Linked DNA regions of Canis lupus familiaris. The protein of the gene in region 1 interacts with the protein of each later gene in a pairwise test. Links are inferred from orthologs where the notes say so. Each region holds a gene or a part of one and is shown on either strand. Other genes may lie near its edges. The genes, in order: LGALS8, TAX1BP1, APEH and MID2.

Evidence for each region.
Region 2: the proteins of LGALS8 (region 1) and TAX1BP1 interact in binary tests that used the Homo sapiens proteins (3 or more experiments, as listed by UniProt). The link is inferred for Canis lupus familiaris from reciprocal best matches to the Homo sapiens genes LGALS8 and TAX1BP1.
Region 3: the proteins of LGALS8 (region 1) and APEH interact in binary tests that used the Homo sapiens proteins (3 or more experiments, as listed by UniProt). The two-hybrid records come from large-scale screens. The link is inferred for Canis lupus familiaris from reciprocal best matches to the Homo sapiens genes LGALS8 and APEH.
Region 4: the proteins of LGALS8 (region 1) and MID2 interact in binary tests that used the Homo sapiens proteins (3 or more experiments, as listed by UniProt). The two-hybrid records come from large-scale screens. The link is inferred for Canis lupus familiaris from reciprocal best matches to the Homo sapiens genes LGALS8 and MID2.

Annotation. Positions count from the first base shown.
Region 1 is NC_049225.1:3,918,314-3,926,705, reverse strand, and holds the end of LGALS8 (galectin-8), read left to right. Parts: intron 1-187; coding exon 188-244; intron 245-1,057; coding exon 1,058-1,084; intron 1,085-1,813; coding exon 1,814-1,902; intron 1,903-3,090; coding exon 3,091-3,256; intron 3,257-6,067; coding exon 6,068-6,217; downstream 6,218-8,392.
Region 2 is NC_049235.1:40,946,384-40,953,281, forward strand, and holds part of TAX1BP1 (tax1-binding protein 1), read left to right. Parts: intron 1-3,369; 5' UTR 3,370-3,376; coding exon 3,377-3,538; intron 3,539-6,898.
Region 3 is NC_049241.1:39,995,805-40,003,970, reverse strand, and holds part of APEH (acylamino-acid-releasing enzyme), read left to right. Parts: intron 1-34; exon of another isoform or gene 35-37; coding exon 38-170; intron 171-690; coding exon 691-817; intron 818-1,229; coding exon 1,230-1,323; intron 1,324-1,424; coding exon 1,425-1,500; intron 1,501-1,587; coding exon 1,588-1,751; intron 1,752-1,884; coding exon 1,885-2,022; intron 2,023-2,119; coding exon 2,120-2,211; intron 2,212-2,287; coding exon 2,288-2,328; intron 2,329-2,414; coding exon 2,415-2,536; intron 2,537-3,058; coding exon 3,059-3,119; intron 3,120-4,372; coding exon 4,373-4,470; intron 4,471-4,711; coding exon 4,712-4,747; intron 4,748-5,102; coding exon 5,103-5,154; intron 5,155-5,988; coding exon 5,989-6,077; intron 6,078-6,510; coding exon 6,511-6,649; intron 6,650-7,125; coding exon 7,126-7,209; intron 7,210-7,289; coding exon 7,290-7,370; intron 7,371-7,722; coding exon 7,723-7,811; intron 7,812-7,916; coding exon 7,917-8,107; intron 8,108-8,166. UniProt on the Homo sapiens protein: This enzyme catalyzes the hydrolysis of the N-terminal peptide bond of an N-acetylated peptide to generate an N-acetylated amino acid and a peptide with a free N-terminus. It preferentially cleaves off Ac-Ala, Ac-Met and Ac-Ser.
Region 4 is NC_049260.1:81,978,772-81,987,163, reverse strand, and holds part of MID2 (probable E3 ubiquitin-protein ligase MID2), read right to left. Parts: intron 5,261-8,392; coding exon 4,545-5,260; intron 1-4,544. UniProt on the Homo sapiens protein: E3 ubiquitin ligase that plays a role in microtubule stabilization. Mediates the 'Lys-48'-linked polyubiquitination of LRRK2 to drive its localization to microtubules and its proteasomal degradation in neurons.

The DNA.
Region 1 (8,392 bases):
ATTCTTTCTCGCTTGCCAATCTGATGGGGGGTGGGGGGTGGGGAAGGACTCTAATGTTAAGCACATTTCTGGATCATGATCTTCAAGCATATTTTCATGTTTAATACTATTTATAATTCTTTTTTGATATGTCAAGGAGGTTGTATTTAAAGTTCTGATGGCTGTTAAAAATTAATCTTATCTTCAGGATTTCAGAAGTACCCAAGCATCTACTCTGGAACTGACAGAGATAAGTAAAGAAAATGTAAATATTAAAGCTAAGAATGAACTACCAGTTTAAAAATGCTCTCTTAAAAAAAAAAAATAATAATAATAATACTAAAAATAAAAATGCTCTCTTAGTTGTCATGTAAATCAGGTGGCAAGCAGGCTAAAGTTTTTTAAATTATGTTTTGAATGCGAAAGGTTATTTTTAATAATAATATGCTGGAAGTAAGCATTTGAAAAGTAAGGCATATATTTTTGTACCAGGCTCTGTGAGTTTTGCAGACTCTCGAGTTTTGAGTTTTGCAGACCCTTGAGTTTGTAGTGTATCTGCCCCCTCCTGTGATTCTTGTGTAAAAAACCCCTCTCAACTGCTGAAGAGAACTGTCACATGGTACTTATAAATACTGGGCACAGTGCTTTGGCAGATGAACTTCCACACATATCTTCCCCCCTGTAGGAACAAGTATAGTTTAAACACCGAGTCTTTGGTATCAGGGGAGAAAGTGATGTCTTAATGATCTCAGAACATGTGACCTCGTAGATAGAATGTAGTATTTCAGCATTTTGGGAGCACCTTGGAAAGAACAAGTAAAACATGTCTCAAGTTCACATATAGTCCTGTGAATAATTAATTTATGGCGGAGTATACAGGCTTAAGATGACCAGGACCCCAGGACTGTATCCCCAGCCACAGTCAGGAAGTGCAGGCCGTTTGTCTGTCATTCCCAGGGCTGAGCAGGCACTACCATCCTGGCTCTGGCTGTTGTAACCATTAAGATCTGACTGTTCATGTTATAAAATGTAGTTTTTCCCTTTCAAACGTCTTCATCTTGACTTTCTCCTCCAATAGGTACTAAAGCCCGACACACCACATTTTGTAAGTATTTTTGCCTCAGTTATAGCGTGGAATGTTTTATAAAATCACCCAAGACATGAATATTTAAACCTTAGAAGACAGCCTCACTCCTTCCATACCTTACTGCAGAACTCTTTCCCCAACAGCCTAGTAATAGAGGAGACATTTCTAAAATTGTACCCAGAACTGTCTACACCAAGAGCAAAGATTCGACTGCCAATCACACTTTGACTTGCGCCAAAATACTACCTACCAGCTGTTTGTCAAAGGTTTGAAGAGCCAAAAGTTTTCCTAATTCTGTATAACAAATTAAATTTTAATTAGCTGGTAATGTAGAATTCATACCCTCAGTAGAAGCCCAAAGCAGCCAACTCTGCGTTTCTGTGCTGACCCTGGAGAGAAGAGTCAGCTGGGCATTGACTCTCTGGGCCCCCGAGCAAGTATTTCCGTAATGCCTCCCATCTGAGCTTCCTCCCCTCAGGCAGAAGGTGGAGCATGGCATCAGGACCCCATGCATAGCATCTTTCTCAGAGTGGATCTCACTCATACGAGGGATTTCAGGCCCCACCTCACATGTATTCATTTCCTTGTCTGAAATGCTTTCATTGAGTTTCCACTGTGAGCCGGGCAGTGCTGACTGCTGGGGTTTACAGGATTATGACTTTTGACCATTGCCCAGTGTCTTCGGACAGTTTTCCCATGAGGTCACTTTCTGCAGGCTTCCTAGCGCTGACTGTGGTTTCTCTTCAGACTCTGCCATTCACTGCAAGGTTGAACTCCTCAATGGGCCCTGGACGAACTGTTGTCATTAAAGGAGAAGTGAATAAAACTGCCAAAGGGTCAGTACCGCTGTTACCAGGAATAGTGTGACTGCTTTCCATGTGTCTTTTTTTTTTTTTTTAAGATTGTATTTATTCATGAGAGAGAGAGAGAGAGAGGCAGAGACACAGGCAGAGGGAGAAGCAGGCTCCATGCAGGGAGCCTGACGTGGGACTCAATCCCGGGTCTCCAGGATCAGGCCCTGGGCTGAGCGCGGCGCTAAACTGCTGAGCCACCAGGGCTGCCCTCCATGTGTGTCTCTTAATGGCCTCTTATGCTCTACCTGTCTTGTGAGATGGAAGCAGGAGTAGTGTCCTAATCCTCACCTGAAAGAGACTCTCAAAGCAACAGGAAGTCAGGCTGCTAACAAGACTGCTGACAACTAGCTGGTGGCAGAATTAGGAGTAAAGGCCTCTCTTTTGAGCTAGGGTTTTTGTGGCCAGATAAGAGGGTGGTGTTTTTGTCCGGGAAGCTATGCATGCCTTGTAGAAGGTTCAGGTCAGTCTGTGGTCAGGTGACTTTTGTTAGGGCCCCTCACGTCATGCGACTTATACGATTTCTGCCTTAGGAACCTTTTCTAGAGACGTTGAGACTTCTGGAAGCTTGAAATTACCTATTTCCTAGAAAGTAGTACACTTTCAAGAAGAACAGAACACTTGTCAATGTTAAAAGAGAATATGTACTTGAAAGGACCCCATCCTCCTGTAGCCCAAAGCAAGCATTTCGGTTACTTGCTCTAATCCTTCAATTGCTTCCCATCCAGATCTGTAGCTTCAGTGTTGAAGTGTTTAACACTGATGTTAAAATTTTTTATATTTTTATTTTGCAGAGAGCACATTTACATCAGTGGCATGCTAACTCAAAATTAAAATATTTTTTAAAGATTTATTTATTTATTCATGAGAGACAGAGGGAGAGAGGCAGAGACATAGGCAGAGGGAGAGGCAGGTTCCCTGTGGAGAGCCTGATGTGAGACTTGATCCCAGGACCCCAGGATCACAACCTGAGCCGAAGGCAGATGCTCAACTGCTGAGCCACCCAGGTGTCCCTCAAAATTTTAAATTTTACCTTCCCATCTGCATTGGTATGTCTGTGTGCACACATGTGTTTTATGCAATTATGATCAGAGCTCAGTTCTGACTGTTAAAATTGCAGAAACTGTACTTCTCTCTTCTACTTGGTTAATTTTTTTTTAATTCTCTCAAAAGCTTTAATGTTGACCTAGTATCAGGAAAATCAAAGGATATTGCTCTTCACTTGAACCCACGCCTGAATATTAAAGCATTTGTAAGAAACTCTTTTCTTCACGAGTCCTGGGGAGAAGAAGAGAGAAATATTACCTGTTTCCCATTTAGTCCTGGGATGTACTTTGAGGTAAGATGATCTTATCGGACAGAACAAAGAATCCTGGGAGGAAGTATAGGAGAAATAAGTCTTTTAAAATTAAGCCCTAGCTTAATATGTGGAGATTGCATGTGGCTTTTATTTGGGGAGTATCTGCATTATAAAAGGGGCATTCAAAATACAGTTGGTATTTTGATTGGCATAAATGGCATAGCCAGTGGACTATTACATTATTTGCACTGGAATTATTACTGGATGGTCCCATATTAGTTCATAGGAATTTTAACAGGAACCTTGCTTTAGGACGGAGAAACATGATTAGGATAATCCTAAGAGAACATGAGGGCATAGGAACCATAAAATTGCCTGTTCTGTCACCTGCCATCTTGAGTATATATAGCCTCAGGTGGCAGTCCTTTCTTCCAGGTTAGTCCTGCTTGTATATATTTAAGGAAAGAGATTTTAGACCCTTGGAGCTTGGAAGTGCTATGGTCCCAAGTTCCCCAAATGTGTGAATATTATGGTAACACAACCTGTCCTAAAATGTGTTTCTGGATGCTTACAGACAGTAATCTCCTTAATGTGGATGCTGGGTGGTTGGCTAGGTTCACTCACTAGCTTAGGTGAAGCACTGTCTACGTGGTCATTCAGGGTCATTGATTTAGGTCATGCTTCTGTATTTTAAACTGTCACATGCTCTGGACCATTAGGACTCATCAAAACTAGTTGTTAAAGGTAGGAACATCGAGGCTGAATAGAAGATGGTAATCGGACATTCATATGTATTCCTAAACTCCTGGTATGTAGAGTAACAGATGTGACCTAATCCTAGGAGGTTTCCTGGAAGTTGTGGATATTGGTTTGGAATTCAGAAGGATGTAGGAGGGTAAAGTTAAAGGTGGGTTTTCCAGATTGAGGGAATGGTTTGGGCAAGGTGGGGACGTGGGGAGGGCAGCCAGGGGATTGTTGGCTTGGCAGGAGTCCAGGTATAAAAGGTGACTGAGGGCTCATTGTGGGGAAGACAGCAGTGACTGTTTCAGAAGGCCGTGGATCCTTGTGGTTGGTGACAGGAAACCAGTGATAGAAGTTGCTCTTTGATCCGACCCCCAAGTTTAGCTCTATGTTAAAATAGAAAAGGACAAGCATTCTTTTAAATAATCTTTTCCTTTTGTTAGTTTTCTGCCTCAGGAACAGTAATTACTCTCATGTTGGACCATTGTTTTTAGTTTTCTGTAGTGATAGGGAGTTGGAAGCAGAGAAAAAACAATCTTTTTAATATGCTTTCATTTAGATTCTCAGATTATTTCATTATACTGTTACTTTGATATTAACCACTACTTTCTGTTGTTTCAAATTCATTTATTAGTTCCAGCTACTAGAGTCTTTTGAGAAATATCTTTCAGTTTTGTATTTTTTTTTTTATCATCCTATAATGTTATGAGCTATTCTAGAACATCAGATGGTTGTAAAGGATTGTTGTTCCATGTTTTCTTAGAGATTGTGGGTCTGTTTTCTGCAAGTTGTGTACTTGTTTTGCGGCAGTATGTTCCCTGGGCTATAGGCATTTCCTTCCATTTGTGAGGCAGTGGCACCATGCTTGCTCTGGTACAATAAGGGTGACTGATGGACTCTTCCCAGTATACCCCTCTGATGCCAACTTGTTTTCCCTTCTGGGCATTAGGCTGTGCTTTATGTTCTCTTGAGATTTCGTTAAATGTATGTTACTGAGGGTTTCTTCCACCTGGTTAAAACTGGGATTTCCACCACTTTTTGGGATGATAGAATCCCAGGTTATGGATATTTTCCCAATTCTCTGTGTAGCCCCAGTTTCTGTTAGTTAGCTCTTCTATCCATGGAATTTTCCCCAGCAGCCACTTTTACTAGTAGAAGCAAAATAACCTGCACACTGTCTTTACAGATTTAGATTTGCCTCAGTCTAGATCCTGGGGATGGAAACGGAGTTAGCAGCAGGGCTGTGCTGCTCCTTTCTGCTCTTCTGAAGCCCTGACACAGGGAAGAGGCAGAAGGGAGAACATGGTACAGGTTCACCAAACTGGTCTTTTTAGTGTGGGTGGAGAATAAATGGTAGAATTGTGGCCAGACTGGCATCAGGAATGTGTTATCAGAAGTATGAGTGTTAGGTGTGATTTAAAAGGATTGTAGTTTCTTTTGTTTTTCACTATTTTGAGTTTTAGGCAGACAACTCTGTGAAAGGCTGACATGAAAGGCCAACACCAGTCATGAATCTGAGTTAAATCTTTGCCAGAAAGCTAATTCCTCCATGGATTACTGCCCAGAATACTGCTTTTGGGAAATGGATGGGGAGACCAAGATGTGCTGAGCTGGGATGGAAGTCACAGTCCCCACACAGCTGGGCAGTCCTAGAGGGTGCCCTAAACTTCTGAAATTTTTGATGCATGGTTTGTCTAAGACCCTAGAGTTTAAGGCAAAAAAGTCATGGCTCAGGTCCCTTGGTTTCCCACTTATGGAATCTGCTCCCCTGTGTCAATATGGCAGTTTTCCTGTCATTACAGTTCCCAAACATGGGTGGAGGGCAATTTTCCACTTTGCTGGGAGCAAGGGGCAGGAGAGAGGCCTCAGGCCCTGGGGACAGGGTGAGGCTTCAAGCATGCTCAGTGACTTCTCTGAGTGGGACAAAGCAGAAGGTGCTGCTACCAGATAAACTTAAGAGTCTTAGAAGAGAAGTTAGCAGCAGCAGGCTGGGAGAGTGTCTCTGTAGAAAGCAAACCCCGTGGGTTTACTTTTTGATATCCCGGAAGTGTGCAAGAAACAAAGTGTTGAACTGAGGGAGCCACTAATGTTGTCGTACTTTCCTTCCAGATGATCATTTATTGTGATGTTAGAGAATTCAAGGTTGCGGTAAATGGTGTACACAGCCTGGAGTACAAACACAGATTTAAAGAGCTTAGCAATATTGACACGCTGGAAATTGATGGAGATATTCATTTACTGGAAGTAAGGAGCTGGTAGCTGACATGCTTGCTACAAAAACTGAAATACAAAATGTCTTATGTTAACACTGGCTTCGTTAAAATGCATCTATTATATTGTTTATACGTATATTTTGTTAAAATGAGCTTGCATAATATGAAATCCTACTAGGTATTCTCAGTCCTTGCCATGCAGTGTGGCTTTGTCTATCTAGCACAGAGTAAGGAAATCTGAGGCAACAGTAACTTAGTCATTTTTCAGGCATTTCTGTTCTCTCTCCCACCCCAGCCTCTTCTTTTTAAAATCTGCTTCACATTCAACAAGTATCTATTCATATAGAAGCTAACATATATTGAGCACTTATTTTTTTTTGCCAGCAACGTGCTAGAGCTGGGGATAAATGTATACAGTGGAGCACAATACCACTCTGTTCCTGTTCTCTTGAGCTCAGAATCCTCTGTGCTCTGCCATCGTGCCACTGACTTTTCTACGGGTATTAACGCATAAAGGAACCAGAGACAATTACTGAGCTGTGAAGTTACCTCCATACTAATTTACAAGACATTACTTCTCTAGCGATCGCTTTCAAACCCAGAGTTCAGTCATATCCAATAATTAAAGGACTGATGTTGCCTTACATCTGGCAGTTTCCTTCAGCAGGATAAATATCTAGCTCTAACATGAAATCTGAACACAGTACAAAGATTAAGGCAAACAATGCAGCAAAACAAAACCAATGGTATTAAAATTAACTTGAGGTCAGTCTATGCCGCCAGTGTCTGTACCAGAAATGCTTTAGAGTAGCTGAATTCAGGGTGAGTCAAGAGGTTTACATGTACTCCAAATAGAAAGTTTAAGGTAGATGATTTTAATCTGTAAAATGTTTATGGGTAACAAAGCAATGTCAAGATTAGATTTCATGACTGTAAAATAGGCGCTATCATGAGGTAGAGAGAGGCAGTATAAAAATCTCTTGCTTGTCTGCATGCAAATAAACTCCACTTCTCTGTTCTAAAGATTGGTCCCTCATCATTAGCAATGGAGATCAAAACATTATTCAGTGATTAAAATCAAACCTGTATCAGCAAGTTAAATTTTTGCATTTCTGTAATTTTTTCCTATTCTTTGAAGCGAGTTGGCAGTTATTTGTACAATTCTTACAGGTCAGATCTTGTTATAGGAAATTTCAAACGCTTGGGAGTGGGGAGGTAAAAAAGCTAAGTCGGTTTGATCATTTTATCATGTTCAGTTGTTGGGCTGAATATGCTGCCAGTGTTTAGGAATATTTTCCTTAAAGATTTTGGTTAGATATTATTTGTACCCATATACTGAAAAGACAACTAGCAATCTGATTTTTTATAAGTACTCAGTGTAGAAGCTTCTGGCACTTAATTCTTTTCTATTCATGTTAACTTATTATGTTGCGTCTTGCCAAGCTCGTGGGGAGCAGAGTTGGGGTCCTAACTTTCACTGGGAAAACTGAAGAAGGAATCCCCCAGGGGTTTTTCCCTCCATAAAGAACATCAGAGGGCTTGAACGAGATGCAGACTATGGGGCTCTTAAAGGAAAAATAAAAGCCCATATACATCGTTTCCTTTCATTTCTAAACACACTTGATGTTCACTTTTGTGTCATGTGGAGGTATTACTAAAGACATAAAATGGATTCTCTGACGGAAAGAATATAAAATATCAATGTGCTTTGAAAAGAAGCTGTCAGTACTTACTGAGTAATCTTACCAAGACATTTCTTAGATGGGAATGCAGATTCCTAGCAAGCTGTTATCTCTAACGCTGCAGTTTAGTGTTTTGTCACAATTCTGCACTAAATTTCTACATTAAATTAGAACAAAGAATTTCAAACTAAACATTCTATGGGACAGTTCTTAGATGCTTTAAGTTTTTAAAAAAGGTGTAAGTAAATAAAATGCCTCAAATGCAGATTTGAGTCTTTACTTGACATGACATCAGAAATTAGAAAACTTCAAAGCGTTCAAAGCTTTCAAAGAAATCTGAAACCTTCTCATACTAGTAATTCTTCATTACCACCAGTGGAATTCGAACACTTCTAATTCTGGAGGAGTCATGCCACCTTCTGTTTCTGAGCCTTTTCTATTTGTAGGATCTGCCTACACAGCCCACTGCCTCCACACCCTCCAAAGACTGAAGGGTGAAGACAACAATCACAGTCCTAAGTGGGAAATACATTCCAGAA
Region 2 (6,898 bases), on another chromosome or scaffold:
TGAGTGGAAAATTTTTGTTTAGCCTTTGGCTTGCATCTTAATGTACCTGTGTTTCTGGAGATGTACGTTAAGAGAATGGGAAGCAAAATTTGGTATAGTACAGCAGCTTCTACTTCCCTTTGTGTGTAAAGGGGCTATGTTTCCTCTTCAGCTAAGGTGCAGTGTCTTTTCTCAGGATGTTAGTGAAGCTACACTTCCCAAGCATTACCACAAGGTGATGCAGTGACTGCACATTACTTCCCCACTGGGCTGTGTGTGTGTGTGTGTGTGCGCGTGCGCATGAGCATGGATATTGTATAAATCTGTCTGAATCATCTTGATAAATTGACATTCTCAATAAATTTTAGCATTTTTATAAGCTTGCCCTCTTTATCTGCATACGTATAAAACAGGAATTATATGGGAAATTTTATTTTACTATTTAAAATGGGTTGATTCATGTGGTAATTGCATTCAGATTACATTATCCCTTGTTACTTTTTATGACTAGAAGATAATATTGGAATTTAATTTTTAAAAAAAGTTTTTAAAACGTGAGAATGGAATGACTTGTGAAACAATTCTATAGTTGCACTGAAATTTTTAGATTGGAGTGTTGGGGAGAGATAATAAGGTTAATAGAATGGTCACAAATTATTTTACTCTTAAGATTTATAATCATGGGGATCCCTGGGTGGCGCAGTGGTTTGGCGCCTGCCTTTGGCCCAGGGCGTGATCCTGGAGACCCGGGATCGAATCCCACGTCAGGCTCCCGGTGCATGGAGCCTGCTTCTCCCTCTGCCTATGTCTCTGCCTCTCTCTCTCTCTCTCTGTGACTATCATAAATAAATAAATAAAAATTAAAAAAAAAAGATTTATAATCATGAATATATTTAAAGTCTGATGTTAGAGTCTTCTATTAAAAACTTGAATGGGGGAAGGTTTAAAATGAAATTTCATGTCAATATGTTGATTTAAAATGAAGATGAGTTTATACATACTGATAAAAAATCCATTAAAAGTCTTCACACATAGTCCCTCATGAGTAAAGACTATTAACTTTATTTTAAGTCCTTTTTGATGCATTTGTTATTAACTCTTGTATTTTTTAGTCCTTTTTGATGCATTTGTAAGTGTATATACACACATACACATAAATAAATACATATACATAAATACATAAATACATAGTAGGAAGTATACCTTCCTACTTTCTACTTTTTCAGTGAAGCGAAAGTGTAAGATTGGATTATAGATTTTTAAAACAGTGTAGTTGAGGTTAAACAAAAGTTTAAACTTCACTGACTTGTTTTATAACAATTACAGCTTTGTTGATTTAGTTTACTTTAGGAAATATGTTAAGTCTTAAGGGCAGCCCCGGTGGCGTGGCACAGCGGTTTAGCACCGCCTGCAGCTCAGGGTGTGATCCTGGAGACCTGCATGGAGCCTGCCTCTCCCTCTGCCTGTCTCTGCCTCTCTCTCTCTGTGTCTCTCGTGAATAAATAAATAAATCTTAAAAAAAAAAAAAGGAAATATGTTAAGTCTTAAGAAAAAGTTTCATTCTTAAATTACTTTTAGCAAAAAACATTGGCAACTCAGTCTAAGCTAACCTTATTTTTTCCTTACTAAATGTTTTCCTCAGAGAATCCTAAATACTTATTTTCTCCCTAGAAATATATTACTGATTCATTCATTTGTCTCAGTTTTGGTAGTTGGATCTGCTAGAAGTTGGTTTCATTGATTTTTAGCTATTGTTTCTCTTAACTAGTATAACCATTGACTTGAAAAGCGATTATCATTAGTGATTTTATTAGCATCATGACATCCCCCTGAGCCCAAATTAGCTCAGACAATTCAAAGAAAGTAATAAAACTCTTCATTTATTTTAGACAGCGTTCCCAGTGTTTGTATGTAAGTGCTATCTTTTCGTTTTATTGATGGCTTTGGCATAATAGTGATAGTCAAATCCTTCTGTAAAATAGGGCTGCTGGTAATAAGCCATGGACAGGAGGATTGCTACTGGATGCACTCTCCTTGCATTGGAATCCTGGCAAAGCTCAGGTTGTGGAGAGGCTAACTGACAACTAGACTGGTACTCTACCATGGTGGCTCCCAGGCTCACCATTGATAGTCTCTTTATGAGATGTCTAATATACTGTTCCAGTAAAGCAGTACTTTAACAGAAGCAGAGAAGATACAAGAAGAAAAGTGGATATTTTCTGAAGTATTTATCTTGAAATTTTGAAAATTTGCCTTAGTGTTTCAAACAGGTCAGCAAAAGAAACGTATAAGCATGTTGTCTTCAATCTTAACAATTAAGATTTTAATAGTTAAAATATGAATAGAGACTAACTGCTGTGCTTGCCCTATAGAGACTTTATTGATTTATAAAGTAAATTAGATTCATTTGGTTAGCAAAAAGCTTGCCCAGGTTTTCCTGTCACATTATGGGGATTTTTATGATGATACAGGAGCAAGTACTATAGGGACATTGTCATAGTTTCTTATATGTAGTATACAATCAATAATTGTACTGAGTCTGTGATACTGTATAGATTTTTTGAGTAAATCCTCAGTTGTATCCTTTTTCTCAAAAGTAGAGCACAAAATATGGGAAACATTTATGTCTTGCAGATGTAGTTTTATTTCTTTTTTTTTTTTTTAAATTTTTTTTTAATTTTTATTTATTTATGATAGTCACAGAGAGAGAGAGAGAGAGAGAGAGGCAGAGACACAGGCAGAGGGAGAAGCAGGCTCCATGCACCGAGAGCCCGACGTGGGACTCGATCCCGGGTCTCCAGGATCGCGCCCTGGGCCAAAGGCAGGCGCCAAACCGCTGCGCCACCCAGGGATCCCCTGTAGTTTTATTTCTTAAAAAGATTTTGTTTATTCATGAGGGACACAGGCAGGGACATAGGCAGAGGGAGAAGCAGGCTCCATGCAGGGAGCCTGATGTGGGACTTGACTCAGGTACTCTGGGATTACACCCTGAGCCAAAGGCAGATGCATCCAACCACTTAGCCACCCAGGCATTCCATCAGTTTGTATTTTTATATATTCAATCATGTTTTTTTTAATTATTTATTTATTAGAGATAGAGAGACACACACAAACAGGCAGAGGGAGAAGCAGGCTCCATGCAGGGAGCCTGGCGTTGGTCTTAATCCCAGATCTCCAGGATCGCGCCCTGGGCGGAAGGCGGTGCAAAACCGCTAAGCTACCGGGTCTGCCCTCAATCATGTTTTTAAGGAGGAATTCCAAGTGTGTGTCTTCTCAATAATTATGGCATGCAGATGCTCTTGTAATTTGCATTTAGTTTTGTGTATTTTCTGAAGGTATAAACTTTGTGTTAGTTGGTATCATTCAACTTGTATGATTTGCTTGTTTCAGATTCACAATGACATCCTTTCAAGAAGTCCCCTTGCAGACTTCCAACTTTGCCCATGTCATCTTTCAAAATGTGGCCAAGAGTTATCTTCCTAATGCACACCTGGAATGTCATTACACCTTAACTCCATATATCCATCCACATCCAAAAGATTGGGTTGGTATATTCAAGGTAAGAACAGTTTGTTGCATGTTTCTTCCATGTAGGTATAGGTACTCTATTTTCTTTTTAAGCAGGTTGATAAGTAGCTTGTATTAGCCTTGTCTTCACTCTGCGATAAGGGTCTTTTTACATTTGTAAACTTAAATGCTTTATAAACATGAAACACCTAATAGTGCAGGGTGGTATACGATACTGGGAACTAAAGTTCACCAGTTTTGCCCGTCTCTCTGATCAAAAGGTCTGTGAAACACTTTTTGGAACCTTTCTTTCCCTTCCATTTTTTCCATTCCTTATTTGAAAAAAGGTCTTTTCCTTTGAGTTGCTTTATCATTTACTATCTCTTCAGTCATTTATAATTAATTTTATACAACTCTACAGCCGTGTTATTTTTCTATTCTACGTTGATTAATTATTGCTCATGTCATTTTATGCTTTTTTTTTTTTTTTTTTCTAAATTTTATTTATTCATGAGGCAGAAACACAGGCAGAGGAAGAAGCAGGCTTCATGCAGGGAGCCCGACATGGGACTTGATCCTGGGTCTCCAGGATCAGGCCCAGGGCTGACGACAGTGCTAAACTGCTGAGCCACCCGGGCTGCCCCATTTTATTAAGAGTATTCTGTTTTTACATGACTAAATAGTAAACTCTCTGATGACAGGAATCCCAGTTCTTACCTTTTGCTAGTCATTTTGTATAGTAGTTGCTTGAGAATTACTTTGAGGTGATCTTTATGGTGGTGCTTCTCTGTGCTAGAAATTTACTGGCAATTTCAACTCTTAAGAATGTAGTGGATAACTAAAACGTGAGGTGAGTCCTTAGGGTGCCTGGCTGGCTCAGTTGGAAGAACATGTGACTCTCGATCTTGGGTTTGTGAGTTTGAGCCCCACATTGGGTGTAGAGATTACTTAAATAAAATTAAAAAGTGTCCTTTCAACAATCAAAATGTCGTAAATGTCCAAATAATAAAACTTTTCTCCTCAGTTCCTCTAGATTCTCCCTCAGAATGAGTTTTAGATATGATTTTAAGGGTCTTGAAATTTTGATTGCATGGTGTGTATAAGTTACAACAAAGTAGAAAGAAAGAACAGCTGCCAGAATGAAACACAGGTATCTAGAAGTGAAAGTCAGCCTTTTAGAGTGAGGAGGGCCGAAAAACTATTGGACAAAGAAAGTTTTGGCATCTAATGACGTTTCATTTCTTTTTTGAATCCCTTCCTTGATTTTGATGATAGAGGAATCATTTACTATTTTTTAATCTATTTATTGTTTGAGTCAAATTCCAAAATGGGGATACATTCATTGTAAGCATTTTTATGAAGTTAGTACTGGTTTGATTTTATGTGAAGTATGGGTTATCAAGTTAAAGAAGCTGAGTGAAAATTGGTGTTTTGTATAGGAATTGGTCAGACAAAAGTAGAGCAAGGAAATAAGATTGAGGGAAAGGAGGGGCATTTCTGGCAGGAAAATGGTATAAGCAGAGCCACAGAGTTGAGAATGTTATTGAGACAAGTTAGTTTGACTAGAAAATGACCTTCATTTAGGAAAGTAGAGGGAGGTAATGTTGGAATTAAGCTTCAGACTATCTATGGAGACCTTTAGTTATAGGCTAAAATTAAAATGTAGGTTTCTATTTTGGGCAATGGGATGTCTTTGCATATGTAGGTATGTAGGCTGATGTATGATAAATTGCATTTCAAGATGAATCTTTACCTTTTTCCTTTGAAGTTTTTTTTTCCCCTCAATTTTTAGTTAATGGCCTATTGCCTAAGCCAAAAGCTAATTACTTTCCTTTCAAATCTATTCAAACACCATTTCTTTACATTTTATTGCATATGTATTTTTGTATCTGTGATATCAGTGCTCTAGTTTTATGCCCTTTCCAAAATTATTGCACTTGTTTTCCCTGTTTTCATTCTTGTCCCCCTACCTTATCTGTTCTTCAAAGTACTGTATATAAACTATATTATAAAATGAAAATCTGAACATATCTTCTTTTTGTTTCAAACTCTTAGTTTTTCATTATCTGTAGAATAACGCCAAGACCAAATAACTTTACCAGTGTGCCATATAAGGCTTCCTTTTTTTTTTTTTTAAGATTTTATTTATTTGGGAGCTTGTGAGCATGAGCTGGGGGAGAGGCAGAGGGAGAAACAAAAACGGACTCCCCATGCTGAGTAGGGAGCCTAAAGTGGGGCTTGATCACAGGATCCTGGGATTATGATCTGAGCTGCAGACAGACGCTTAACTGAGCTACCCAGGTTCCCCATATAAAGCTTCTGTATATGTAACTTCATTTTTTTTGGTCATAGCCTGCTTATTATTATTTTTTCAAAGATTTTATTTATTCATGAGAGACTGAGAGAGAGAGAGAGAGAGACAGAGACACAAGCAGAGGGAGAAGCAGGTTCCATGCAGGGAGCCCGACATGGGACTTGATCCCGGGAATTGCCTTATTTTTTACTTTGGTAATGCCAAACTCTTATCTCACGTGCACTTCAAGTGCTGTAACTTTTCTCTAAGAAATAATACTTACATAAATGAATACAGTGGTATGGAATGCGCTTGGATTATAGAATTGCCTGGATAATACTTTTAAACTTGATAGGAATTTCAGGTATGTGGTAAAAATTTCAGAATACGTGCGGGAAGTCTCAAGAAAATAAATCATGTTTAATAGAGTGGAATTGCCATGCTTATTGCATTGCACGTTTTAAAACATTTAGGTGTACTGCAAATTGCCCTCTAGGATGATTTTGATGGATACAATATTTTAGGGAAGCAAGAGAAAGTGCAGGATGGTAGCTATAAGGGGGAAGGAATGAAGGGAAAGTGTGTGTGGTATGTTTGTGAAAATGTTAAAGGAATTTGACTTGTTTGGGACAGATCATCAGTTTTAGAAGATGAATGGAAAAGCTTGGTTTGGATATTTGGCTGAGGAATGAAGTACAGCAGAGAGTAATTTTAGAAGTGAGTCTTTATCTTGGAGGGTTGAGTAAGATAAATTTAAATTGAAATTAGAAGAGAATGGAGACAGAAAATGTTTTAGACTATCCTAATTTTCTAGGTGAGATAACGCCTAAAGTAGAAAAGGGAGTCAGTTGTGGATTATAATCCATAAGTAGAATCATTGTGAATTTGTCACAATTAGTTGAATGAATTTGGACTGGAACTCACTCATGGCTTTATTATATTCAGTAAGGAGAAATAAGATCATGTGTTAAGAGTTGAGGAGGGCTTGAGTATGCCGATTTGGTTTTGCTATTGTGGAAGAATGTCATAGGGAATTAGAGATTTCTGAGAATTGGTTTTAGGTTGAGCAGAAAGGTTGAGCACCCAGAATTGTGAGTGAAGAAGTGTGGTATATATTTT
Region 3 (8,166 bases), on another chromosome or scaffold:
CCGGGCCGGGTCTGACCCTCGTGTGTCCCCTGCGCAGGTGCTGCTGAACGAGCCCGAGGAGGCGGCGGCGCTGTACCGGGGCCTTAGCCGCCAGCCCGCGCTGAGCGCCGCCAGCCTGGGCCCGGATGTCACCACGCAGTACGGGGGCCGCTACCGGACGGTGCACACCGGTGTGTGTTTGGAGGGGGATCGAGTGGCGGGCCCATTCCGGGGCGGTGCACTTTCGCGGAGAAGCGGGAGATGTGGAGGGCTTGCTGCTTGACAGTGCACTCGAGTGGTTTGCAGAAAGTGGGTGTAGGAGGGTGCACCCTCATACAGGTGTGTGAGGGACGCTGCCCGGTGTGTTAAGGCACGATGCCTTTGAGTGCATGGTTGACGGTGTGGGAATAGAATTCAGACCGGGATACACGGTGTGGGCCTTGTAGGCTCACCCCTCACCATATCCCATACATGTGCCAGCCTCCCCTCAAGTATGAGGGTGGGAGTACGAGCTGGGAGCAGTAGTGGTTTCTCTCTGACATGCTGTTAGCTCAGGCCTAGACTTGAGTTGTGGCCAGGTGTTGTCCCTCCTGCTTCCAGCATATCCAGAAAGACTGCAGAGGTGGCCTGGGCTTTCCTTCCTTGTGAGGGGGTGAAAGGAGCCTGTACTGGGACTGGTCAGCTCAAATTAAGTCTCATGCCTCCTCACAGAGTGGACCCAGAGGGACCTGGAACGCATGGAGAACATTCGATTCTGCCGCCAGTACCTGGTGTTCCATGATGGGGACTCAGTGGTGTTCTCAGGGCCTGCAGGCAACAGTGTGGAGACCCGGGGGGAGTAAGTTTGAGGGAAGAAGCTTGTGGGCAAGGCCACAGCCATCTGCAAGCCTTTTATGAAGGCCTGCCATGTGCCATGGTGCAGGTAGGGCCCTGAAGGAAGACTAGGAGCCAGGTTCTTGCCCCTTGGGAGCTCATGTGGTCTCAATTGACATGGCCTGATGAGCACTGGAGACTTTGTTCAAACTTGAGCCTGAACTAGAGCCCATGGAGCTTCAGGGGGGCTGGGGAGAGTAGAGCCCGTGCCCCAGGCAAGAGAGGCAAGGCCAGCTGCCATGATGGAGCTGTAAGGGCTGTAGGGGCGGAGGTGAGACCAGTCTCAAGAATCTTGTCTAAGAGGTTGTGGCCAATAAGGGGGCAGGATGGGACTGTGTGGGTGGTGATCCCGACTTCCTACCCCATGTCCTCCTCAGGCTGCTGAGCAGAGACTCTCCTTCGGGCGCCATGAAAGCTGTGCTGCGCAAGGCTGGAGGCACAAGCCCTGGGGAGGAGAAGCAGTTCCTGGAGGTGAGTCTGTATGGGACCAGGTGGTGGGCAACGGGGGGCTCAGTCCCACAGATGAGGCTCTGTTGGGGGGGGCAGGTAACCTGACACCCAGATGTCCTCAGGTTTGGGAGAAGAACCGGAAGCTCAAGAGCTTCAACCTGTCATTGCTGGAGAAACATGGGCTTGTGTACGAGGACGGTAGGCAGCTGGCTGGTGAGAGACAGGGTGGACAGGAGGGGCAGCCATCACCCAGGTCTCCCCCTGATCAGCCTTCCTTACACCCAGACTGCTTTGGCTGCCTGTCCTGGTCACACTCGGAGACACACTTGTTGTATGTGGCAGAGAAGAAGCGCCCGAAGACTGAGTCCTTCTTTCAGACAAAAGCCTTGGACGTCAGCAGCAGTGATGAGGAGATGGCCAGGCCGAAGAAACCAGACCAGGCCATCAAGGTGCTCATGTTTATGGCCAGTCCGTGAAGGCCCTCCGGGGCCGCCTAGGGCTCGGTGTGCTTCCTGCCCACATCGTGCCTGTCAGAACTGGGGAGGAAAGACAGGCTGGACATTGAGTATTTTGTATTCTTAGGGGGATCAGTTTGTGTTTTATGAAGACTGGGGAGAAAACATGGTTTCCAAAAGCACTCCTGTGCTCTGCGTGCTGGATGTCGAGAGTGGCAACATCTCTGTGCTTGAAGGGGTCCCTGAGAGTGTGTCCCCTGGACAGGTTAGCACTGACTCAACCTGCCTCACTCCTGGGAGTGTGGGGGCCCTGCTTGAGCCGCTGCCCCTTGTTCACCCTTGCCCTGGGGTTTTGTTTACAGGCATTCTGGGCCCCTGGAGACACAGGCGTGGTGTTTGTAGGCTGGTGGCATGAGCCCTTCCGGCTGGGCATCCGCTTCTGCACCAATCGCAGGTGAGGAAGCGGGGCAGGGCAGGGGGCCTTTCAGCTTAGTCTGGCCTGAAACTGAGTGTCTCTCTGGTGGTTCCAGGTCAGCCCTATACTATGTGGATCTCACTGGGGGTCAATGTGGTAAGTGCTGGTGCCTACCTGTGCTTTGCTGGCACATACACTGGCCCTACCGGCCTGCATGATGCTCACATTTTCGTCTGGTCTAGAGCTTCTCTCAGATGACTCTCTGGCTGTGTCTTCTCCCCGGCTGAGCCCAGACCAGTGTCGCATTGTCTACCTGCGGTACCCATCTCTGGTCCCCCATCATCAGTGTAGCCAGCTGTGTCTGGTGAGCTGGAGGAGGGTGGGGAGTGGTGAGCAAAAGGAAACGATGGTGGATGGGAGCTGAAGGGTCAGTTTCATCTCCCCATGGGCCCCTCACTGGACCTCCTGTCTTGGGTGCAGTGATGGTGTGAGTTCTGTCTGTCTTCCTAGGGCAGGACCTAGAGGCTGAGCGTGCTGGCATGGGGCTTTGCACTGTCAGGACCCGCCACCTTAGAGCCTCCTCTATCTACAAGAATGCTCTTCCCTTTGCTTCTCATCTGCCCGTGATCAGGCTCAACAAGGGGCTGGGATGTAGCTGGCAGTTACAAAGTATTAGTCCTTGCCCAAGAGCAACTCCTTGGGAAAGTCCCAGGCCCCTTTGGGCATCTGTCCAGGTTACCAGAAAAGAAATACATCAGGCTTGTCTCAGGTCCTCCCCTCCCCCGAGGCTACCCAGGGTGGTCAGAGAAGAGGATGGGTAAAGAGCTCTGTGCCCTCAGGACACTGCCAGTCCCCTGGTGGGCCTGACCAGTGTGTTCTTTTGCAGTATGACTGGTATACCAAGGTCACCTCGGTGGTGGTGGATGTCGTCCCTCGGCAACTGGGAGGTAAGGGGTATGTCTCCAGTTAGGTGCAGCAGAGCCTACAGCTCTGTTTTCCTGCCATCTGTTATCCTTGTGCGGGGCCAGCTGCCTCAGCTCTTCTTTTCTGGCTTCTATCTGAAGTGTCCCACCCTGCTGGGCCAGCCCCGTGTCCAGCCTGCATGGGGAACAGAACCTTCACCTTAGGGAACAGTTCTGATACAAGTCAGCAGGACCAAAGCTGAGATCAGAGTCGCCCAAGGTGGCAGGGGATTTAGATTTCTTTTTTTTTTTTTTTTTTTTTAAGATTTTATTTATTTATTTATTCATGAGAGACACAGAGAGAGAGAGGCAGAGACACAGGCAGAGGGAGAAGCAGGCTCCATGCAGAGAGCCTGACGTAGGACTCGATCCCGGGACTCCACGATCACACTCCGGGCTGCAGGCGGCGCTAAGCCGCTGCGCCACCGGGGCTGCCCGATTTAGATGATTTCATTTCCATGCTGCAACTCCTAGGCAGAGCTTGTGTTTCCAGTGATTGGTTAAAGCCTCTGCTCAAGGGGGGGCCTCAGAAAGCACACTAGGTTGGAAAGTCCTGGAGAAGCCACAAGCTCAAGGGTGCTACACTGTCCTGCTCCCAGCCCCCACTGTAGTGTTTGTCCTATCTAAGCTGCTGAGTCAGTGGGATCTCTTCTTAACCATGACAGGTCCTCGGACAGCATCCTCATCTCCCTGAGCTTCCATTTATTATCTGTGGGTGGTGGTAGCCTCTGTCTTCTTTATAGCATTATAGTAAGGGTTAAACGAGTGATATCAAATGTGGAATCTATTCAGCCCCCTCTAAATCTATTCAGAGTATAGGTCTGAATAGATCTATATGAATAGATCTGAATAGATCTATTCAGAGTGCCTCTGCCAGGCATTCTGCTGAGCACCATCATGGACAGACAGACAGTATCATCTTGGTTATAGCACTTGGTGCCTACCAGGGGCTCAGTAAGAGCAACACATAGGAGACCCAGTGCATTTCTTCCAAGCAGCTATGGTTGCTCTCAGAAGCTCTTGAGCTCTGCCTCTCCTGGCACTCAGAGGCCTCTGCCCCCAGCCCCCTCTTCAGGCAGCCCCTTATCACCTCAGGTACCCCCATGTATAGGACTGCCATTCTGTCACAGTTGCAGGGGTTCTGGGGGGTGGAGAGTTCTCCAACCCAGCTGGCCTCATAGGCTTGACCTCCCATACCTCCACTGCTGGATGTGGCCTCAGCCCTCCCATCTTTGCAGAGAACTTCTCTGGGATCTACTGCAGCCTTCTGCCTTTGGGATGCTGGTCAGCTGACAGCCAGAGAGTGGTTTTTGACTCAGCCCAGCGTAGCCGGCAGGTAAGGGGCCCTATGTTGAGAGGCAGCCCCCCGACCAACCTCCAGGAACCCTGGGCCCAGGGCATAGCATATACACACTGCTGGGTGGAATGCCCTGCCACAGGTCTTACAAGCCCCTTTAGGCCCTGCCTGCCCCTGTCCTGGACTTTTTCTTAAGGAGACTGCCTGCCTGCTCTGGTGCCCCACAGCAGAGCCCTTGGCCTTTTCTCCTGAGGCTGAGGTACAATTCCCCTTCCCCCAGGCATTTCCAGCTGGGGGACGAGGCAGCTGCCACCAGGTGGGTCCCCAAACACTAAACAGAGAGCTAATGGAGATGGGGAGAAAAAATGTGGGTAAGGACACTCACAGTGTGCCAAGATTCTTTTTCTTTAGTGTGATATCATTTGTTTCTCATACTAGCTCAGGGGCTCAGAGGCATTCCTTGCTTTACCCAGAGTCACTCTGCAAGTTGTGATGGGGCTGGGATTTGAGTCCAGGCCTCCATACCACTACCAGTGGCAACTAAAGAGCCATTGCCATAGTTGTTCACAGCCTTGGCCTGGCCCAGGGGTCCCTAAGAGGGTCGAGAGGTGGGAGAGGGACCCATAGGGCTCTTGGATGTGGTACCACATGTGTCCTCCCCTCTGCCTCAGGATCTGTTTGTTGTGGACACCCAGATGGGCAGTGTGACCTCCCTGACCGCTGGTGAGCAGGGCGGGTGAGCAGGCCAGCCAGGCCAGGGGTGGGAATGGAGCTCCAGCACATGGGGCAGTAGTGGCACCCTTGGCCACTCTGCACCACTGACTGTCCCGCAGCCTTTACTGCATCTTGCAAGGACCCTGACCATGCAGGACCTTCCCAGCCAACAGACTGCCTCCCCTGCTCCACTCTGCTCTGCACAACCAGGCCTTGACTCAGCACATCCCCTGCTTCTCAAACCTACAAAATTCTTTCTTGCCAAGATCTGCCAGAGTCATCCTTCCCCCAACTTCCAAAACCTCAGGCAAAGGCAACTCTGCTATCCCAGGGCCCATGAGAAACTCTACGTTGGCCCCCTCATCCTTCTCTTATCTGGGCCTTTGATTCTGCCCCTAAAATATCTTGAGTTCTCAACCTGCCCTAACTGTAGTCCTTCCTCCACAGAAGTTCCAAAATATTGTTCCTAAATTGTATCTCATCATACAGTCCCTGGTTAAGAATTTCCTTGGACCCCAATGCCCAGAATCAGCACCACTCCACCCCCCTAGGCCTACCTGCCACCCCTGCTGATTGCAATCACTAAGTTGTAGGTGGACATGCCATGGTCGGCTGTGTCCCCAGATTTGCCAGTCCCTGGGCTTAGCATCTGCTGGTTGAACGAGGTACTAAGCAAGAGGCTCACCCAAGGCTGTGTGCAGTTGGGTGTTTGTGACAACCCTTTTGTGGGTGTTCCTTTGCTTCTCGGGATGAAAGGGACACTCTGACATAGAGCTACTGCCCTGGGGCTCTGACTGTGCAGGGAGTGGGTGGGGGAAAGGTGGTGGCATCTGCCTTCTCCAGGGGGGTCAGGTGGAAGCTGGAAGCTGCTCACAATTGACCGGGACCTCATGGTGGCACAGTTCTCCACGCCCAGCCTGCCCCCAAGCCTGGTGAGTGTTGGTGGGCCCCGGACCAGGAAGTGAGGGTTCTGTGTAGGCAGAGCTCCCCAGGTCAGGGAGCTGGCCTGAGTCTGACTGCGGTTGGTCAGCATGTGGGAGGCCGAGAAGTGGTCCCAGCCCAGCATGGTCCATAGGGGTCTGGCACCCATGGGGAGCTACTACCAGGTGTAGGTCTGCTCTATAAAGAATAGGGTACCCAGGAAAGTGCCCAGTCCTCTGGCACAGCAGAGGACACAGCAGAGCCTAAAAGTTCAGGAGGGAAGGGTGTGTGTTTATGTGGGAGTGCTTCTGCATATACCGGCTCACAGCATTAGTCTATGATGTACCCTCGAGGTGGTAAAAGGCCTAGCATAGTGAGAGCTGCCCACCTCCCACGTGGCAGAGGCAGCCAAGCCACCTATGACACACTTTTTCCCCTTGGCAGAAAGTTGGGTTCCTGCCTCCTGCCGGGAAGGAGCAGACAGTATTGTGGGTGTCCCTGGAAGAGGCCGAGCCTATTTCTGACATCTCCTGGGCCATCCGGGTACTGCAGCCACCCCCAGAGCAAGAGAATGTACAGTTCGGTGAGCTGGGCCAGGGCAGAGGGACACCTCCCAAGTTCCCTGCACGTATTACCCCTTCTGTGCCCCTCCCTCACATTGTGACGTTTCTTGGGATTACCTCTAAGAGACCTCCTGTTCTTCTTGTGCATGGTCATGGGGAGTAGTGCCTGGGTATGTGGGCACCTAGTCTGGATATCAGGACTGGGCATCACCAGGCCAGATCCTCTGTGGTAGGGAAACCAAAGCCCAAAGATGCTACCTTATTCGAGGCCTCTGACCACATCTCATCTAGAATGCTGTCCTGACAGAGTGGGTCTCCCAACTAAGACAGGAGGAGTATGAGCCACCTGGAGTCCCAGGTGTCCTGATGCAGGCTACCTTGACCAGATCTTTCTTTCAGAGGTCAGCCCTAGACCTGCAGCTGCAGCTCAGGCCTTTGCTGGGGAAACACCTCAGCAGCAGCACTGGCTCTGCTAACTCCTGCCTTCTCCCTGCAGCTGGCCTTGACTTTGAAGCAATCCTTCTACAGCCCAGCAACCCTCCAGATAAGACCCAAGTGCCCATGGTGGTCATGCCCCACGGTAAGCATCCAGTCTAAGAGCTGCTGCCCTCCCACTGCCCATCCTAGCTGGCTCATTCACTCTCTGCTCCATGTCTGCAGGGGGACCCCATTCATCCTTTGTCACTGCCTGGATGCTGTTCCCAGCCATGCTTTGCAAGATGGGTTTTGCAGTACTCCTAGGTGAGTAAGCAGAGCCCTACAGCAGTGGTAGGGCTGTGGAGGGTGATGGGTGGCCTGGTTTGTAAGCACCACGGGTAGCACCCTAGTCTCCGGGCCTGTCTGCAGCCTGGCACCAGCAGCCTGGTAATGGCCCAGCCTCAGGCTCCACGGCGTGGTCACAACATGAAATAACATGGGACTTCCATGGAAATGGTACTGTGGTCACTGGGCAATAGCCTCAAATCTCTTGGCCCCATGCCTTGACAGTCTGTGGTGCAGCTGGCCCTAAGGCCTACTTCACAAGGGATGAAAGTGCATCCAGGGGGCTGGGAATGTCACTGACCACCTTATCTGCTTCCTCCCTGGCCTCCAGTGAACTATCGAGGCTCCACGGGTTTTGGCCAGGACAGCATCCTCTCCCTTCCTGGCAAAGTGGGCCACCAGGATGTGAAGGATGTCCAGGTAGCAGGGGCTGGGGCTTCTGGATAGGCTGGAGGGTCAACCGTATTGGGGTGTGTTTCATTCAGGTGGGCAGCCAGCTGCAGCACACTCTGCCCCACCCTGTAGTTTGCAGTAGAGCAGGTGCTCCAGGAGGAACACTTTGACGCTGACCGAGTGGCTCTGATGGGTGGTTCCCATGGTGGCTTCCTCTCCTGCCACCTGATTGGTCAGTACCCTGAGACCTATAGGGCCTGTGTGGCGAGGAACCCTGTGATCAACATTGCCTCCATGATGGGCTCCACTGACATCCCTGACTGGTGGGTGTGCTCCACAGGTCCCTGCCCTTCTCTGTGTTGTCTCATACCCCACATAGAGC
Region 4 (8,392 bases), on another chromosome or scaffold:
AATTATTTGTAGTAATGAATTTGTGGAAATGTAATGAGAAAAAGAAAATGTGCTTGTTTATTCCTTTCAGGAAATTCCTCTATTCCCCCTGATTTTCATCAGCTATATTTTTGGCAGGCTATGGGCATGGAAATGTGAAGACATCACTCTCAAAGAGAATTATAATAATCACATCTGATTTATACAGATGTCACCACAGGGTTAGGCAGTTGGAAAATCCAGTACTCCAAATGAATAGGCACTTAAAATTAAGGACATGCCATACTTTTGCTAACACTCTGGTTTTTAACATTATCAGGAGTTTGCAGGAGATTCTTTTTTTTCAGACCCCTAAAGTAGTCATAATGGCAAGACAGATTTATATCTCACAAGATGAGAGCTAAGGCAAGCTATAGACACTGCTATATTTCCCACAGATCCATTATTAATATTCCACTCATTTGGATTTCTTGAGCACATATTATGTGTGCAAGACACTAGGAGGATACTGAAGAAATAAAAGATAATGCGTCTGGCCTCAAAAAATTTATGGTAGAGCTGGGATGTGTTGGGGTGGCCTTGAAGGGTTTTAGCTGGGGACTAAAGAATTGGTAGGATTCCTAAGCAGGTCAAGAGAAAGAGCACAATGGGCAGCCCGGGTGGCTCAGTGGTTTAGCACCACCTTCAGCCTGGGACATGATCCTGGAGACCCAGAATCAAGTCCCATATCCGGCTCCCTGCATGGAGCCTGCTTCTCCCTCTGCCTGTGTCTCTGCCTCTCTCTCTCTCTCTCTCTCTCTCTCTCTGAGTGTGTGTGTGTGTGTGTGTGTGTCTCATGAATAAATAATAAACAAAATCTTTTAAAAAAAGAGCACAGGTCTAAGTTAGGAGTCATAAAAGAGAATGAGTGGTATGTTTAGCAGACAGGAAGCTAATCTGGGCAGAATAAAGGTACTACGTTTGAGAGTGGTAGGGGGCAAAGATGGATGGGTAGCATGTGAACTAAGTTGTACCAGACTTAGAATATCGAGTTGAGATCTGTCATCAATACAGAGCCACTGAAATTTGACCTCTTTTTAGAAAGCCAACATTCATTTTTTTAAGATTTTATTCATTTATTCATGAGAGACACACACAGAGAGAGGCAGAGACATAGGCAGAGGGAGAAGCAGGCTCCATGCAGGGAGCCTGATGTGGGACTCGATCCCAGGACCCCAGGATCACACCCTGGGCTGAAGGCGGGTGATAAACCACTGAGCCACCCAGGCATCCCTAAAGCCAACATTTATTAATGTAATAGTATCGATCTTTTCTACAGGGAGAAACTCATGAGCCAATGAAAACTCTTAACACGTGAAGCATTTTTATAGAAATGTGGCCACATGTCATGAGCTAAGATCATATATTGGGACACATAAGTGGAAAGAGAAGGAATGGAGGAAATAATTACTCTGATAGGCCTTTCTACTGTAATAACTGTTGGGAACAAAACTATTCTTTGAAATTGAAGAATTAATTGAACCACTGGTTGCCTTCCGAAGGACATGTAGTTAGAATGGACAAATAAAGAATGATAATAAACCATAGTAAGTATCCCAAACCCCCCTAATCCACTTTGAGCACATGTTAAGAAGACAGGCTGGCTTCTGGTTATTCCGACCTTTTGTCTTATAACATAACAGTGTGTTTATTCTTCATTGAATAAATAAATACTGGAGACCACTAATCCTACGGAGGGAAGTTAGTACAAATAGGGTAGTTATAAAGGCCAACAGTGAAGCTCCAGAACCAAAAAGGACAAATAAACACCATTTCACTTATGGGCCAAAAGTAAAACCCCTAGATATATGTACTATCATACCCCCCCCCCTTCTCCTGTAGGACTCCCATGCTCTTCAGGGCCAGAGGAGTATGCTCAAGGCCATCTCCTCCATAGCTTCTGACAACCAGCTTCCTCCTTTCTCCTTGGGGAAGAATTCGGCAGATTAAGGGAATAATCCCAAATGCTTTTCTAAATTAAAATTAAGCCAAAGAAGTGAGAATATGTGACACTAAGTCAAACTTCCTCTCCGCTTAATATGGAGAACTAATAGCCCTTTACACTTGGACACCAAAGTGATCCTCACACATCTAACACACACACACACACACACACACACACACACACACACACACAGAGCAGCAGCAGCAGCAGCAGCAACAGCAACAGCACCTCTCCCTCCCCAAAGTCCAAGATGTTCCAGACAATATAACAAACCACACAGTTGGGAATGATTCATATGTTTCCACTCTCAGTCCAAAAAATGAGCAAAAAAAAAAAAGTTTCCGCTTAATTTAAAATCAGAATTTTCTGCACATTTCCTTAAAAAATTAAAGGGGAACAATTCAAAATCTGGCCTTTCTTTCTCCAAAAATTACTGATTAGTTACATACTAAATTATCTTTTGGTAAAATACTTTTGTGCTGTGTCCAGCCCTAGAGACTTGGGCTATAGCTACATTATGCCAAATATCTAATCAATCATCCAGTGTTTTCATGTTTTCGGATGTTTTCAAAATCTGGTGTTCTGCAGATACAGGCTTATTCTATCCAGTCTTTTGTTATCTCAATCATACATATGGATACAGAGTTTTCTGTTTGGAGTATTTCTCAAGGCCAGTGCCTTATTATAGTTCCAACACCTGCAAACATTTGGCAGAGACTGTCCCATCCTCTCCATATCCCCTACTCTTCCTGCAACCCCACCTCCATCTCTTGCCATTATGAAGCTGTAAGTTTATACAGTATGTCCTTTCCTTGATGCTGTTAATCGTTTATCTGTGACCCATGAAATGTACAATTGCCAGAGCATAAAGTTAAGTTTCAAATCACATTTCATGGGCAAAACTGAGGTCCAAAACAAAGTGGCAGCAGGCTACAGCAGAAAGGATACTTAGAGTGCAGAAGCTGAGTTCCAGTTCCAATCCTGTGACTTTGACCAAATCACTTAACCCCTCAAAGTTTTAATTTATACCACATGACAGTGTAAGGCTTTGACTAGACCAAGTGCAAGGCCTGGCATCCTAGGAGTCTAAGAATGGAGTCAATGAGATTATTCCTCACCATAGTCTGGAAACGAGTAAGAAAATCACCCTGAGTGGAATCCACAAACATTGAACTTTGTACAAATCTGTACATATTAGATATAAATAAAAATCACAAAAGGCACAAACCACTGTCAGCGTGGCCACTCTCAATATCGCTTGCAACAAATTATGGGAGGGAAAATATATCCCATCCTGAGTATTGCTATCTTCACCAACCTCATGAAATGTTTACATGAGTTACCATGACTTGTTTGGGGCATGGCAAGAGGAAAATCTCCACTTCCTTTCTCCCCTCCTCCCATCCTATCCTCTTCCTTCCACCCTGATCTATCTAGCCAGTCCCTATTTGGGGGGTGGTAATCTCATTAGTCACATAAACATTTTATTTTCCTGGAGTTTCTGCTAAACAGCTCCCTTCTTAAGAGAAGTTAAACCCTATGGCAGGCAGGCCATGGGAATAAAGCAATTTGCTGGAGTTGACATTTGTTAACATCAACATGAGGCAGTAGGGTTTTACAAAATAGGTGCTTTGACTTGCACATAAATATTATATATACAGCATGACAACTTTGGGAAACTCTGTCCAATGAACGCCAATGAAATACTGGAAACTTCCAAGGCAGGCAACTGCAGCCCAGTGCTTCAGTCTCCAACCCACACACACTCAAAAAGAAAAAAAAAACTGCACGTTGGCACATCTAACACTGGATTAAATACTTATTGCCTGCAGTTGAAATTTTGAGTTCAGACAGCTGATTATCCCTCTTGACTTCGTAGTAAACTGAAGTTCCTTTTTTGTCTTTTGTTCTGTTTTGCTTTTGCTTTGTGAGGCAGGCTTAGAATCAGCCCTGTGCTAAGGGCTGGAGGGCAATTTTTGGCAAGCGGAGTGCCAAACCTGTTTCTTTAGCATGTCGAGAGGACAAACACATGTACTACTGTCCTCCACCAAAAAAAAAAAAAAAAAAAAAAAAAAAAAAAAAAAAAAAATCTCTCGCCTACATAGAGATACACTCAGACGCCTCCACCCACACCTCCACAGAGACACACCCAACCTTCCCATTGCTATACCCGCACCCAGGCATATCAGCACGTATGCTAATTACAGGACACCTACATAGGTACTCACATACCTAAAACAGGCGGAAAGATCATGACAAAGATAGATAGTGTGCAATATGTCACTGACAGAGGACAGACGGTGTTGTTTCTCTGGGCAGGCTACGTGTGGTACGGGCCAGAGGCTAACTCATCCAGAACTGGCCAGAGGTGAAGGGATGCAACAGGTTTGTGCCACTGATGAAGCAGGTCCCAGGGAGAGTTTGTGAGTGAGTAGGCAATTCCTCACGAGAACAACTTGGGAGTTAATTGACTTGTTACATAGGACAAGTGGACCTAGCTTGATTAGGGAACTTGCTAAGTGTGTATAACAATTGTGTGTAGAGACCAAGGTGTATAAGAGACATTTCCCAGATCCCTTACCTTGAGTTTCTCAAATCGGTCATTCAGGGACGCAACCTGATGGTCTCGGTGACGTCCCACCAGTTTGCATAAGGCACAGATCAATTGGTCATCAGATACACAATACATGTTCACTTTCTCGTTCTCGTGGTCCAGGCAGGTGATCCCTCGAAGGTGGGTGTCTGGCACGGGTTCCACCAGGCGGTGGCTGGTGAAAGGTTTCTTGTTGGGGTGTGTGGCCCGCAGGCAACGGTCACAGTAGGAGACCTCACAGGTGATGCATGTTTTCACTGCATCCCTGGGCGGGTCCTGCTCACAGAATTGGCAAGCAATTCGCTCACTAGACATGGCAGTGCTGGGCCTGTAAGTCCTTTCCCGGCGGCTCTCACTGGGGGAATTGGGCCCACTGACTGAAGCCTTCTGGAAGCGATCGATAATGTTCTGCAGAGTCACATTCCTCTTGAGGCCATCCAGGCCCCGGTGGTTCAGCGAGATAACATACCTGCATGTAGGACACTGGAAAGCAGTAATGGGTTCAATGGATTCACCAGAGCTGCAGCTTGAGACCAGGATGCGGTGGGCACAGCTAAAGCAGAGGCTGTGAGCGCAAGGGAGCAGAAGGGGGTCTTCGAACAACTCCAGGCAGATTGGACAGGTCAATTCAGACTCCAGTGTTTCCATCTTTAGTGAAAATAATCCTGCTGAGGCATTAAGAACCACAGAGGCTCTGCTTTCACCTGCGAGGAATACAAAGCAAGAGTCACTAGGCGTTTCCGAAGGAAACGTGGATGTAGCACAGTCACACACTAGCCAATGGAGGCTTTGCACGCTAGCTTCTCCAGTGGGGCTGGAGCAATAGGAAAGCAATCTGGGAATTAATCAAAAAGTCTTTCTGGGGAATCCCTGGGTGGCTCAGTGGTTTGGTGCCTGCCTTCAGCCCAGGGCATGATCCTGGAGTCCCAGATATAGTCCCGCATCAGGCTCCCTATGTGGAGCCTGCTTCTCCCTCTGCCTGTGCCTCTGCCTCTCTCTCTCTCTCTCTCTCTCTCTCTGTGTGTGTGTCTCATGAATAAATAAATAAAATCTTTTTTTTAAAAAGCCTTTCCCTACCCCCGCTTCAAACCTTGTTTTCAACAAATGTGCGAGTTTATGTTCCTGCACTAATAAATAGAACCAAGTAGTCACTTCTGAATCCTGGTTTGCTGGCTGACATAACTATTCCAGCTTATGAGACCAGTGCAGATCAGACCCCTCACATATTAGCCACTGACATCTCTGGTCCTGGACTGTGATGAGCCTGAGGCCCTGCAAAATTCTCAATCTCCATTCTCCAATACTGGTCTGTATTTTTCCTTCAAGGTAAAATAAAGGGGCTGTGCCTATTTCACATCTAGGGGAAGGAAAAAGGGCCATATTTCAAACTCTCTACTTCTTGAAATGATTCCATTCTGAGAGCTTGGGTGAAAAAGAAGAGCAAGCTTTGGAAAAAAAGGACTGCTCAGCATAGAATAATAAATTCTTCAGAGTGTGAACTCTAATTATTTCCTGGTGTCACTCATGGAAATTCCTGTTCTGTTCCAGTTCTAGTAAACTGAGTTACTAGAGATAAATGGTGCTGGTTTTCACTTCCTTCCTTCACCTTCAGCAAGCTCTTCATCTCATCAAGCTCAATGAGAAAGGACTTCCACTTTTCAACAAACTCAGCAATAGATGCTGATCAATAATGAAGACATATTACCTTTTGGTTTCAGCTGGGTTTTATTATTACACATTCACTGAACTAGCACAAGCCTACCATGAAGCTCACCTCCCCGTGTGTCTTTTCATACTTCCTAAAACATAACAGGATGCAAATCAACACCCAGATATAAATTAGCAAGGCGAGGAGCCAGCCAGTTCCACATCTGGTAATTTTCATTTTGGTATGTGCATCGCAGAGTAAAAGAAGTCACCCAATTAATGAAATTAATGAAACCAATCTCTTGGTCAATCTATCTCTTCTCCCACAGCCATTTCTGAGCTGAACATAATAGATATTGCCATGGGTCTTCTGTTAATTAAAATGAACACACATAAATGTTCTAAGCTAGCCTTAACTAAGGAAAAAATCTATCTTATCGACAGAAGGTGTTAATCTTATTTTTAGAAAAGAGAAAGCCGTCTTTGGCTCGTGAATAACTTTTGTTCATCATCTTACTATCATGGAAGACCCTCACTGGGGCTTGAAATTTTGATTCTGCCACTGAATAAAAACACCAGATGCATCCCTAAAAGCTGTTTCTAGATCAAACCTCTTAGGTGCACTAAACGAACTAGCTATTTAATGGAAATCTATAGGAAAAAGTTTAGAGTAAAGTAAAAGTAAAGAGTCTTTCTGGCAAAACAGCCACTCATGGTTGGTTTGGTAAGTTCAGACTGTATAACTACATTTTTAAAACATGAGACATGCAGTTATTCTGTTTATGATTTACAAGTGCTACAAAATTGTTGGCTGGCAATATGTAGTTTATAATACCTATCAGCATTCACCAATAGAGATGAAAGAGTACAATTACATTGTGCCTACATCACAAGACCTTAAAAGTGGAAGAAACTTTTAGTTAGAGATGATGGATTCCAACCTTTGCTCCAGGCAGGAGTATATCCTTTGATTGTTCCACTACTCAAGTTCAACATGGCCATAAATGAACTTGCTATCCTTCCTCTCTCCTCCCTCCCCCACCCAAAACCCAAAACACCTGTTCTTCCAGTTTTCCCTATCTGGTGAATATCACTAACCAAGCCTATAAACCTAGGAGTTCTCTCATTTACATGTTTATCACCACAACCACTAGTGGCTTCCAGAACCTTCTGTTTTATTTCATTTACATATCTCTGTCTCCAGCCAACTCTCCCTGCCCCTTAGGGCATCGATTGTTTTGTATTTTTATTCAGAACACAGTGCCTCATACATACTGGGTATTCACTAATTGTGAAATGAAGATCCCTTAAAGTAGAAGTCAGAAGAAGGGACCTAGCATTTATTGAGCACCTCCTGTATTCTGAATGGTGTTAAGCACTTTACACACATTACCTCATTAAATGCTGTCAAGAAGCCTGTGAGGAAGGAATTACCGTATCCATATTACAGCTAGGAAATTGGGGCTCAGCCCTGCTAAGTAAATTAACCAGGAACATATATACCCAGTGCACTGGATCAGTCTAATGCCAGTGCCTGTGCTCTTTCCCCTACACCTTTATTTCAATCCTCTCACCTCCTCCACTAAGGTTTATCTTGACTATTCACAAGAGGGCTTCTAAACAGTGGGTTTCCGCTTCTATTTTTGTCTGTGTCCCCCTGAGTCTCTCTGAATCTGTCCCTCATTCCGAGTCCCTTCCAGAATCATATCTTTTTCTTCTAGACCCAACTCCACCTCACACTACATTTTTCTTACTATCTCTTCCGGAACTGCAAGTTTGCCTTCTTCAATGTCTGTATTGGAAACTGCCTGGGAGAGTGGAGTGAGGCCTCCCTCCAAAATAACAGTTGGGGGACACCTGGGTGGCTTAGTGGTTGAGCATCTGCCTTGGCTCAGGGCATGATCCTGGGGTCCTGGGATGAGTCCCGCACTGAGCTCCCAGCAGGAAGCCTGGTTCTCCTTCTGCCTAGGTCTCTGCCTCTCTCTGTGTCTCTCATGAATAAATGAATAAAATCTTTATAAACAAAACAAAACAAAATGACAGGCAGTCAGGAGCATTGCTGAAAGACATTTATGTGTTAAGACTGATACAAAAGCAATTGAGGTCTCTGTGGTATTCTTCTAAATCTTAGGAGTGTGCCAAACAAATTTCTTCCATACAAAAGGAAGAGCTCTTTGAGTTTCCCTGAA